Cricetulus griseus: one gene and its partner. The protein of the gene in region 2 interacts with the protein of the main gene of each other region in a biochemical or structural test. Links are inferred from orthologs where the notes say so. Each region holds a gene or a part of one and is shown on either strand. Other genes may lie near its edges.

Region 1 (4,599 bases), on a different chromosome or scaffold from region 2:
TTATTCATACTAGACTAACCAAAGCCCTTCATTCTCATCTTTTTATTTCAGCTTTCATTAGTGTAAGTACATCTATAGTATGAAAATGTATTCTGTGTGGATTAACACTGGAGCATGATGCTGGAGCATGGCATTTTCATTTTATTAAATCATAAAAACCACCAGGTAGTAGTGGCACATGCCTTTAATCCCAGCACTTGGGAGGCTGAGGCAGGCGGATCTTTGTGAGTTCAATGCCAGCCTGGTCTACAGAACTAGTTCCAGGACAGCTAGGGCTATTACACAAACAAACCATAAGGAACAATTTTGAGCAGTGACGTTCATATTGAATATTACTTAACCTTTTTCTCGGGATGTATCTCACTCCTTGCTTCTCCCTTCAAACCATGGTACTGTATGCAACAGAAATACGTGTGCGCGCGCGCGCGCGCGCGCGCGTGTGTGTGTGTGTGTGTGTGTGTGTGTGTGTGTGTGTGTGTGCGCGCGCGGCGTGCTCGTGTGTTATACTGACCTTTGCTTAGGAGTTGTTCATTATGTCACTATTATTTTTCCTACCAGGATAAAATTTTACTATTTTAGTCAGGTTACACCTGAGCCAATATGAAAATCTTTTATACATAGGGTAGGACATTATGCTCTTTACCTACTGAGTCTAAAGAAAGAGTAATAATTAAAATATTTATGGCTTATATTGTTTTTCAAACATTATTGTGTGTATACATGTGCGTTTATATATATACACAGTAATATATAATATACATTATATAATGCACACACACGCATATATATATATGTGTGTGAGTATGCATGTAGGCCAGAGGTTGACATCAGGTGTCTTCCTTTATTATATATTATATATTTATTAAATATTCACACACAGCGTATGCATGTAGGCCAGAGGTTGACATCCAGTTCTAGCAATGTTCACGTTCCAGCTCATGCAGAGCATGCCAGGCTGTCTTCCGTGAGGGTTCTGGGGATCCCCAGCTTACATGGCAGGCATTTGTCAACTGAGCATCTCCAGCCTAAACAACAGTTTTAACTTATAAAAGTATGATCAATACACAATCTGAGAAAATGGAGCCAAGAAGGCTAGGGATGCAGCTCCGTTAGCAGAGTGCTTGCCTAAGATGCATGAAGCCCTGCGTTCCAACCCTGCACCGAATGAACCTAGCACGGGAGCATGCCTGTACTGCCCGCACTCTGAATATGAAGGTAGGGGGATTTGGAATTCAATGGCTTTGGCTGTATCATAGGGGGGAGGGGGGCAGGTCAGGTTATAACACTGCTTTAAAAAACTCAAGAACAAATAGTTCTCATTAGAAAATCTGTTTTAAAAACACCATACCTGGGACAACCCCAAACTGGGGTTATCTGCCCCACTGAATGACTGAAGCATGGGGTACACTGAGATGTCTCTGCAGGTAAAAAGCATTTACCACCAAGCCTAAAGACCTGAGTTCTGTCCCTGGAACATATATAGAAGGAGGAGAGAACCTACTCCCACAAGCTACCTCTGACTTCCACACGTACCCCACTCACACACAAATAAATAAATGTAAAAAATTATAGCATAAAAGCATGTTAATTAGTAGTTTTCATTTTCATCCATCTGCCACAAATTAACCCAAACATTTTTTGCCTTTGCTCGTGCGTGCGTGCGTGCGTGCGTGCGTGCGTGTGTGTGTGTGTGTGTGTGTGTGTGTGTGTATGTGTGTGTACAATAAGAGGTACAGTAAATAGAACTTTTCTTTAAAAATCAGTCATTTTTAAACAAAATGAAACCAATCACTCATCTCATATGCAATTTTTACAAACTGCAATTTTTACTGAAAAATATAAACTCGTAGGCTGTAGAAGTGATCAGTAGTAGAGCACCAACATCACTCATGCACACGCAAGTCCTTCAGTAGCAGCCTGGGCCTGATCTGAATCTCACACATGCTCACGAGGCACACCAATATACATACATACATACATACATACATACATACAAAAATAAGTAAGGGTTTGACATAAGATACACAAAAATCTGTAACATAATATCATTACTACTAAAACTGACCTGCAAAATTCTATGCATTACAGCTATCAAGCAAGCTGTCCTATTGGGTTAATGCGGTAAGACGTAACTGCAACAATATTCTACAAAAAGATACAATTCTAGAAGCAGAACACAGAGAAAGCAAAATCCTATCCGCAAAATCTGCACCTCCCCAAACAAAAACCTAAGTCTGAGTTTACAGGAAATAAGGGTTCTTTCCAATTAAAGCAAAGAATAAATCCATCAGATAAAATTCGGTCTGAAGGCTTCCAAGGATTTTCTTTCTTTTTTATAAACTGTTACGAACCAAAACAGAGATCATAATCGGTGAGGTTAAAACACGTGACTTACAGAGCACGGCCACAGCCCCAGACTCGAACATGAGACATTCTTCCTTATGCCGCGTTTCCACTATGAGGCTGAAGGGTGGGGGGTCCAGCTTGTGGTAGACTCGGAAGCCTTTGCTGAACGCCATCCTCCTTTCCTCAGAGGCAGCCCTGTGAAAGCCAAGCCAAGTCAAGCCAATGGTCGGCTGGGCACCCAGGGGTCCCTCCCTGCCAAGTGTGAGGGGGGTAGGGGTGCAGGAAGAGAGGAGAAATCAGGGGTGAGCCATTTATTCCAAAAGATAAGGCGTCACCAAATTTTTACCAAAAGGCAAAGGGAAACCGGCTTCCAGTTGTCAAGATGCGGCCAGGGGAGGCAGGGTCTGTGTTTACCCACAGGAAAACCGTGCGTGCGTTTTCGGCGGGGGTTGTTCACGGGCCTGCCTCGCGGGCCGCCTCTCCTGAGGGGACCTGACGGCAACTTGAGGCTCGTGCGTCTACCTCAGCGGGAGGGTAGGGCTCGTCAGCGCGCGGGCTCCGCAGGGCGGCGGCGAAGGGCAGGGACGCCGCCACACAGGTGACCGCCGCCGCCTCCGCCCGCCCGCTCGCCCGCCCACCCGCTCGCCCGGCGCGCAGGTCACGGTGACGACAGGCTCGCCCCGCGCGCGGCGCGGGGGTTCCGGGGTAGCCGGGGAAACCGAGGCAGCGGGCAGCCCGGAGCCTCCATTGTGCGCCTCGGGAGATGCCCGGGAGCCTGAGCGGAGCGGAAGCCTTCCGGCCCGCGGGGTGACAGCCGCCGTCACCGCAGCCGCCCGCCGCCGCCCCGCCGCCGCCCGCGCTCTCCTCACGCCGCCCGCCCGGCCGCCCGCAGCCGCCGCTCACCGCTCGCGTCCCGGCTGCCACCGCCGCCACCGCGCCGCCGCGCCCGTCACGGAGCGTCCCCGTCCCCCGTTCCCCCGTCCCCCCGACCGCCCGCCCGGCCGCCCACCTATTCCTCCGGCTCCTCCTCCTCCTCCCGCAGCCGCCGCCGCCGCCGCTACAGCCGCCCGAGGCGTCACTTCCGCCTCAGCAGGCCCAGCTCTTCCGCATTGCGCCGCTGCCGGGGGGGGGGGGGGGGAAGGCCCGCCCCTTGGGTGGAGGGGCGGAGCTACTGCCGCCCACGCGGGGCCGTTGGGCTCGGCCGGGCGCCCGTGAGCCACCCGGGTCCTGCGTCCCTCCCGCCGTCGTCAGCGCGGGAGCGGGGGGCCACCCGCGCGGCCGGGGAAGCCGGCACGGGAGGGGCGGGACGGGCGGTGTCCTCGCGTGGAGGCCCCTGAGCCCCGGCCCGGCCGCGGCCGCCAGGGGGACTGCGGTTAGAGCTGCGGGCCGGGCCGGGGGAGCCCGAGGTGAGCCGAGCCGAGCCCCCCGGGACCACCCCCTGCCGCCTCCGCGGCCCCGGCGGGCGGGCGGCGGGCGGTGCCGGAGAGCTGTCCATGGTGTCTGGCGTCGGGAGGCGTCCTTGGCGCTCCAGGGCTCCGCTGAAGGCCTCTGAGAGAGGGAAGGAGGGAGGGAGGGAGGGAGGGAGCGATCCGCAGCCCGGGCGCCAGCCACATCAACAAAACACGGCAGTCACTCTCTCGGTGACGTGCCGATTTGCCGGCCGTGGGCTCTTATAAATAGGGCATCACACTGTTTGATACCGTTTTTCCCCTCAACGCAACACGCCTCTGATTTGTGTCCGGCAGAATTACTCTGCATCTATTCAAGAAACCAAAATGGTAGAATGATGTAGTTAATAGGGCTTTTCAAAGGAACTGAAAACCCGAGGAACCCACAAGTCATATTTCCACTTGCTTTTTCTCCCTAGCCTCTTCCCCTTTTTGCATCCCCCACCCGAAAGCACATTTACGATGCGTTGCACAAAATCGTTTCCTCTAACAGGCTCTATCATGTGACTCAACATTTCTCCATTTTATCCAAGACAGATCCACCCTGGTTTCAGACTACTAATAAGCAAACCAAACACAAGCCACCTCTAGTACAGGAGACACACTTGGATTTAGTTCTGAGAATCTTTCACTTAGTAGTCTCCTTAGAAAAACTTTCGCTTTTTGCTGTGGTTACAGTAACCAGAAGCTTACACTGATAATTAAAATGCTTAGGTCATTTTCCTTCCAAGAAGAGTCCATTTCAGTTGGGGGACAATCCTTGAAGGAAAACACAATGTGATGCCTGTAAACATGCTCCAACAAA
Region 2 (3,643 bases):
TGATGCAGAAGCCATGGAGGAGTGCTGTTTACTGGCTGTCTCAGCTCTCTTTGTTAAATACCCCAAGACCGCCTGTTAGGGGAGGCACCATCTACAATAGGCTGGGCCCTCCCACATCTAACACTAATTAAGAAAATGTCCTACAAGCTGACTTACAGGCCAATCTTATAGTGGCATTTTCTTAATTGATTTTTTTTTCTTCCCAAATTACTGTAGCATATAGATAGTAGTAGATATTGCTGGGAAAGGAAGAATCCTCCTTTTTTGAAGTTTTGGCCACTGGTAGGTTTTCCATGCTTCATGCATAGCCCCATACTTACACACATGATCAACACTAACTGGATTTAAAGACTCCAAGTTGGTTGAAAGGTGTATTGGGGGACACTTGAGAAGTTGAAGGAGGAAATAAGAGGGAGAAATGATATTTTTTCTACATACATATATGAAATTAAAATAAAGGAGTATTCAAAACAAAGCCAAAAGTCTGGCCAAGATACTTTATTTTCCTCTTTTTAACACTGTGTTCTCCTGCTGACATCACTGTTTGTTAAATCACATAACTTTCTTCTCTTACTTACCCTCTCCGCCAAGTTTTTCTCCTTCCTGGCATTACTGCTGCCAGTGCCTACTCTAGCTCACCTTTTGTTTCTTGAACCTCTCTCTCCTGTATGCAACAAGCTGGAGATGAGGTTGGGACCAGGTCTGGATTGGCTGCATTCAATGGCAATGGAGATCAAAGGAGTCTTAGTCCACCCACTGTCAGACCAAGGAACTGATAAATAAGGAAGAGGCAGAACCCTCTGTTTCATCTTCAGCAATATTTATTGGAAACAGCAACGCTTCCCATGGTGAGTTTATACATTAAGCAGGAAGATTTACCTTTCACTCCACATGAACCACTACTGCAAGTGGCATATCGGAAGCAGCACATTAAACCTCTGAAATAGCCTGTACAGCTAGATAAATAGAACTCTGGGTGCCTAACAGGACTTCCATGACTGAAGGGGAAAAGAACCAGAGAAAACACAAAATAAAAACAACACTGATCAGCTTGCACAGCACTGTACACACAAAATGAAGATGCGATAGAAGGGTTAAAGTAATGACTAAAGTGTGAAAGGGTTTTATATGCAGCCACATACTTAAACTGCTAAGCACAAAAATCATCTTTATTTGGTCCTCATTGAGGGCAGAATATACACAAATGATGTTCAAGGAACACAAACAAGATAAAAGTGGGAAGGAGCAACGGTCACTATGTCTTGTTCTATGAAGATGTGGGAAATGCTTACTAGTGTTTCTCTCCTATGTTTTTGTGGCAGAGGGACTCAGGAAATGGACTGATTCCTGGGTAAATAAACAGAGAAGGGAAGACAGCTGTTCCCCCTTCCTGTATCCTTCAGAAATGGGCTACGTATATATACAGCTTCTATACAGCAAGGAATCTGAGCTTGGAGATCAGATTCTTCCCAATTCATCCTGGAGAATTTTCTCTTTTCAGACAATATACACAATGCTCACCAACTCACTCAGAAATAAGTGGGAACGCCACCTCTCTAGTGCTTTAACAGAAGGGAGGGAAGAAAACTGGTATGTCTCAGAAGTAGGAGATAGATGATAGATAGATAGATAGATAGATAGATAGATAGATAGATGATAGAAGATGGATGGATAGATAGCTAGATGGATAGATAGATAGATAGATAGATAGATAGATAGATAGATAGATAGAAAGATAGATGGATGAGAACAAAAGTGCTTTGGACAATTAATACTTCTGCTGATGGCATCAAAAGTCCAAGTTGTTTAGGCCAGCAGACAATTTGCTGGTGGGGGATGCTTCACCAACAATTCTGTGACTCACACATTTAGGAAGGGAAAGTGCAACAGAAAGGACTTTCTCCTCTGTACATGGGGAACTCCAGACCTTGAAATGGCCCCTGGGTGAGAGACAATATCTTCAGTGAGGAGAGTTTTTCTGTGAGGTGGCTCACAGATTTATTATCAAAAACCGCACCCTCCTGAGAACTGTGTGAAGAGCAGTTCTGTAACCACTGGCTAGTCTCAGATGGAGTTTTAAAGCATGTGCCAGACCCACTGGCCTTGGAAGATACCGTCTATCACCAGGTCAACTGTAGGAGCACACAGGTCAACCCAGGACATGTGTGGGCTTGATGACTCATCCACTGCGGCCTGCATTCATGATGTGTTGGAAGCAGCATTACCAAAGCAGTGGTTAAACTTAACTATCTGGGTCAGAAGGAGGTGAGCCAGCCAGCATAAGATCCTAATGGGGCAGAGCAACCAGAATTTCTACATAGTTGATGGGGAAAAAGCCAGACTGGCCATGAAGCATCCCCTCATACCAGTTCTCATCAATTTGATTAGTGAGTGTGATGATATCACCCTCTTTAAAACCCAGTTCCCCTTCATTTTCAGGTTCAAAGTCATACAGGGCACGGCAGCAGGGCTGGTCCATTTGGGCACCTGAGAATCAGAGGCAGAGAGAACACAAAAAAATCACAGGGTATTTAACCAGCAGCACTTACTGCCTGCCCCACCCACCAGCTTGGTTCCCCATTCCCAGTCACTCAACTCCCTTCTGATCTTCATCTTCCTCCAGCACCCACTACAAAGCATCTTTGTCTCTACCAGCTTCCCTATGTTCCATTAGAGCTTTAAGTGTTGGTGAACATTCTCGGTTGACATGTCCAGAATGAAAAATGGTTACTTGTTTTTTTGTGTGTGGTAAGTATAACAGAGTTCATTAGGTTTATCTTCCTGACAATGCTGAGAGGTGGGAAAGCAATGGCTTTGGAGTTAATAATTAAATTAAGGTTAATTACAGGCATGGCCAAATCCATGCATCTTAATACTTTTAAAATAGTCTAATTAGTTACACAGACAACATTCTAAAACCTCAAAATCATAGGTCAGTTCTCACTCTTTAACAACTGCAGAGCCTTGAGAACTGCTGTAGCCACATAAAGCACTAGGCCCAGGGTTTTTCTCCATGTGACCTGGCTCAAACATTCTGTTTGCTTCTTCATCCAAAATTAAAGTTAACAGAATTTGCTTTAAATTATTGTGTCATCAAATGACAAACATTTTAAAATTCACAGTCTCTATTCAGTAAACTGGTATGTAACATACACATGTGAGTACTGGGTAAAAAAACACAGCCTACAATAATAATGTAGTGCATATTGCATAAATTAATAAAAATGGACTGTATCATAAAAGGGATCTCTTTTAAATGAGTAAACATATTAATACAGCATATGCATAAATACAAATACAAAAGTGATTATGGGCCCCACACTAGCTAGATGTCCTAATAAGGAAACAATATATTTTTTTACTTAGAGAAAATTAAATGTATGTCTTTTTCTGGGCAAGGAGAAGTGCAGTCATAGATAATTAACTCGATGAACTTTAGGGTCACTGCTGTCTGGGCCCCACACTGAGTAACACTGGGCAGTCTGAGCTGTGGACAGAGCTTCACCCTCTTCTTCATACCATGACAGCATGGTATAAAAGTTCTCCAATGCAGTAAATCAGGAGAATGGGAGAAAGCTGTGTATCTTTAACATCTGCATCCAGTGTCACGTGGATTCCCCCTTCTTTAACCTAGACAGTTTCA

Evidence for each region.
Region 1: the proteins of Sh3gl2 (region 2) and Synj1 form a complex in vitro, tested with the Homo sapiens proteins (2 studies listed by BioGRID and IntAct, with this or other methods). The link is inferred for Cricetulus griseus from reciprocal best matches to the Homo sapiens genes SH3GL2 and SYNJ1.

The regions. Positions count from the first base shown.
Region 1 is NC_048597.1:6,747,938-6,752,536, reverse strand, and holds the start of Synj1 (synaptojanin-1), read right to left. Parts: upstream 2,866-4,599; 5' UTR 2,693-2,865; intron 2,542-2,692; 5' UTR 2,520-2,541; coding exon 2,396-2,519; intron 1-2,395. UniProt on the Homo sapiens protein: Phosphatase that acts on various phosphoinositides, including phosphatidylinositol 4-phosphate, phosphatidylinositol (4,5)-bisphosphate and phosphatidylinositol (3,4,5)-trisphosphate. Has a role in clathrin-mediated endocytosis.
Region 2 is NC_048595.1:62,445,359-62,449,001, forward strand, and holds the end of Sh3gl2 (endophilin-A1), read right to left. Parts: intron 2,488-3,643; coding exon 2,288-2,487; 3' UTR 804-2,287; downstream 1-803. UniProt on the Homo sapiens protein: Implicated in synaptic vesicle endocytosis. May recruit other proteins to membranes with high curvature. Required for BDNF-dependent dendrite outgrowth.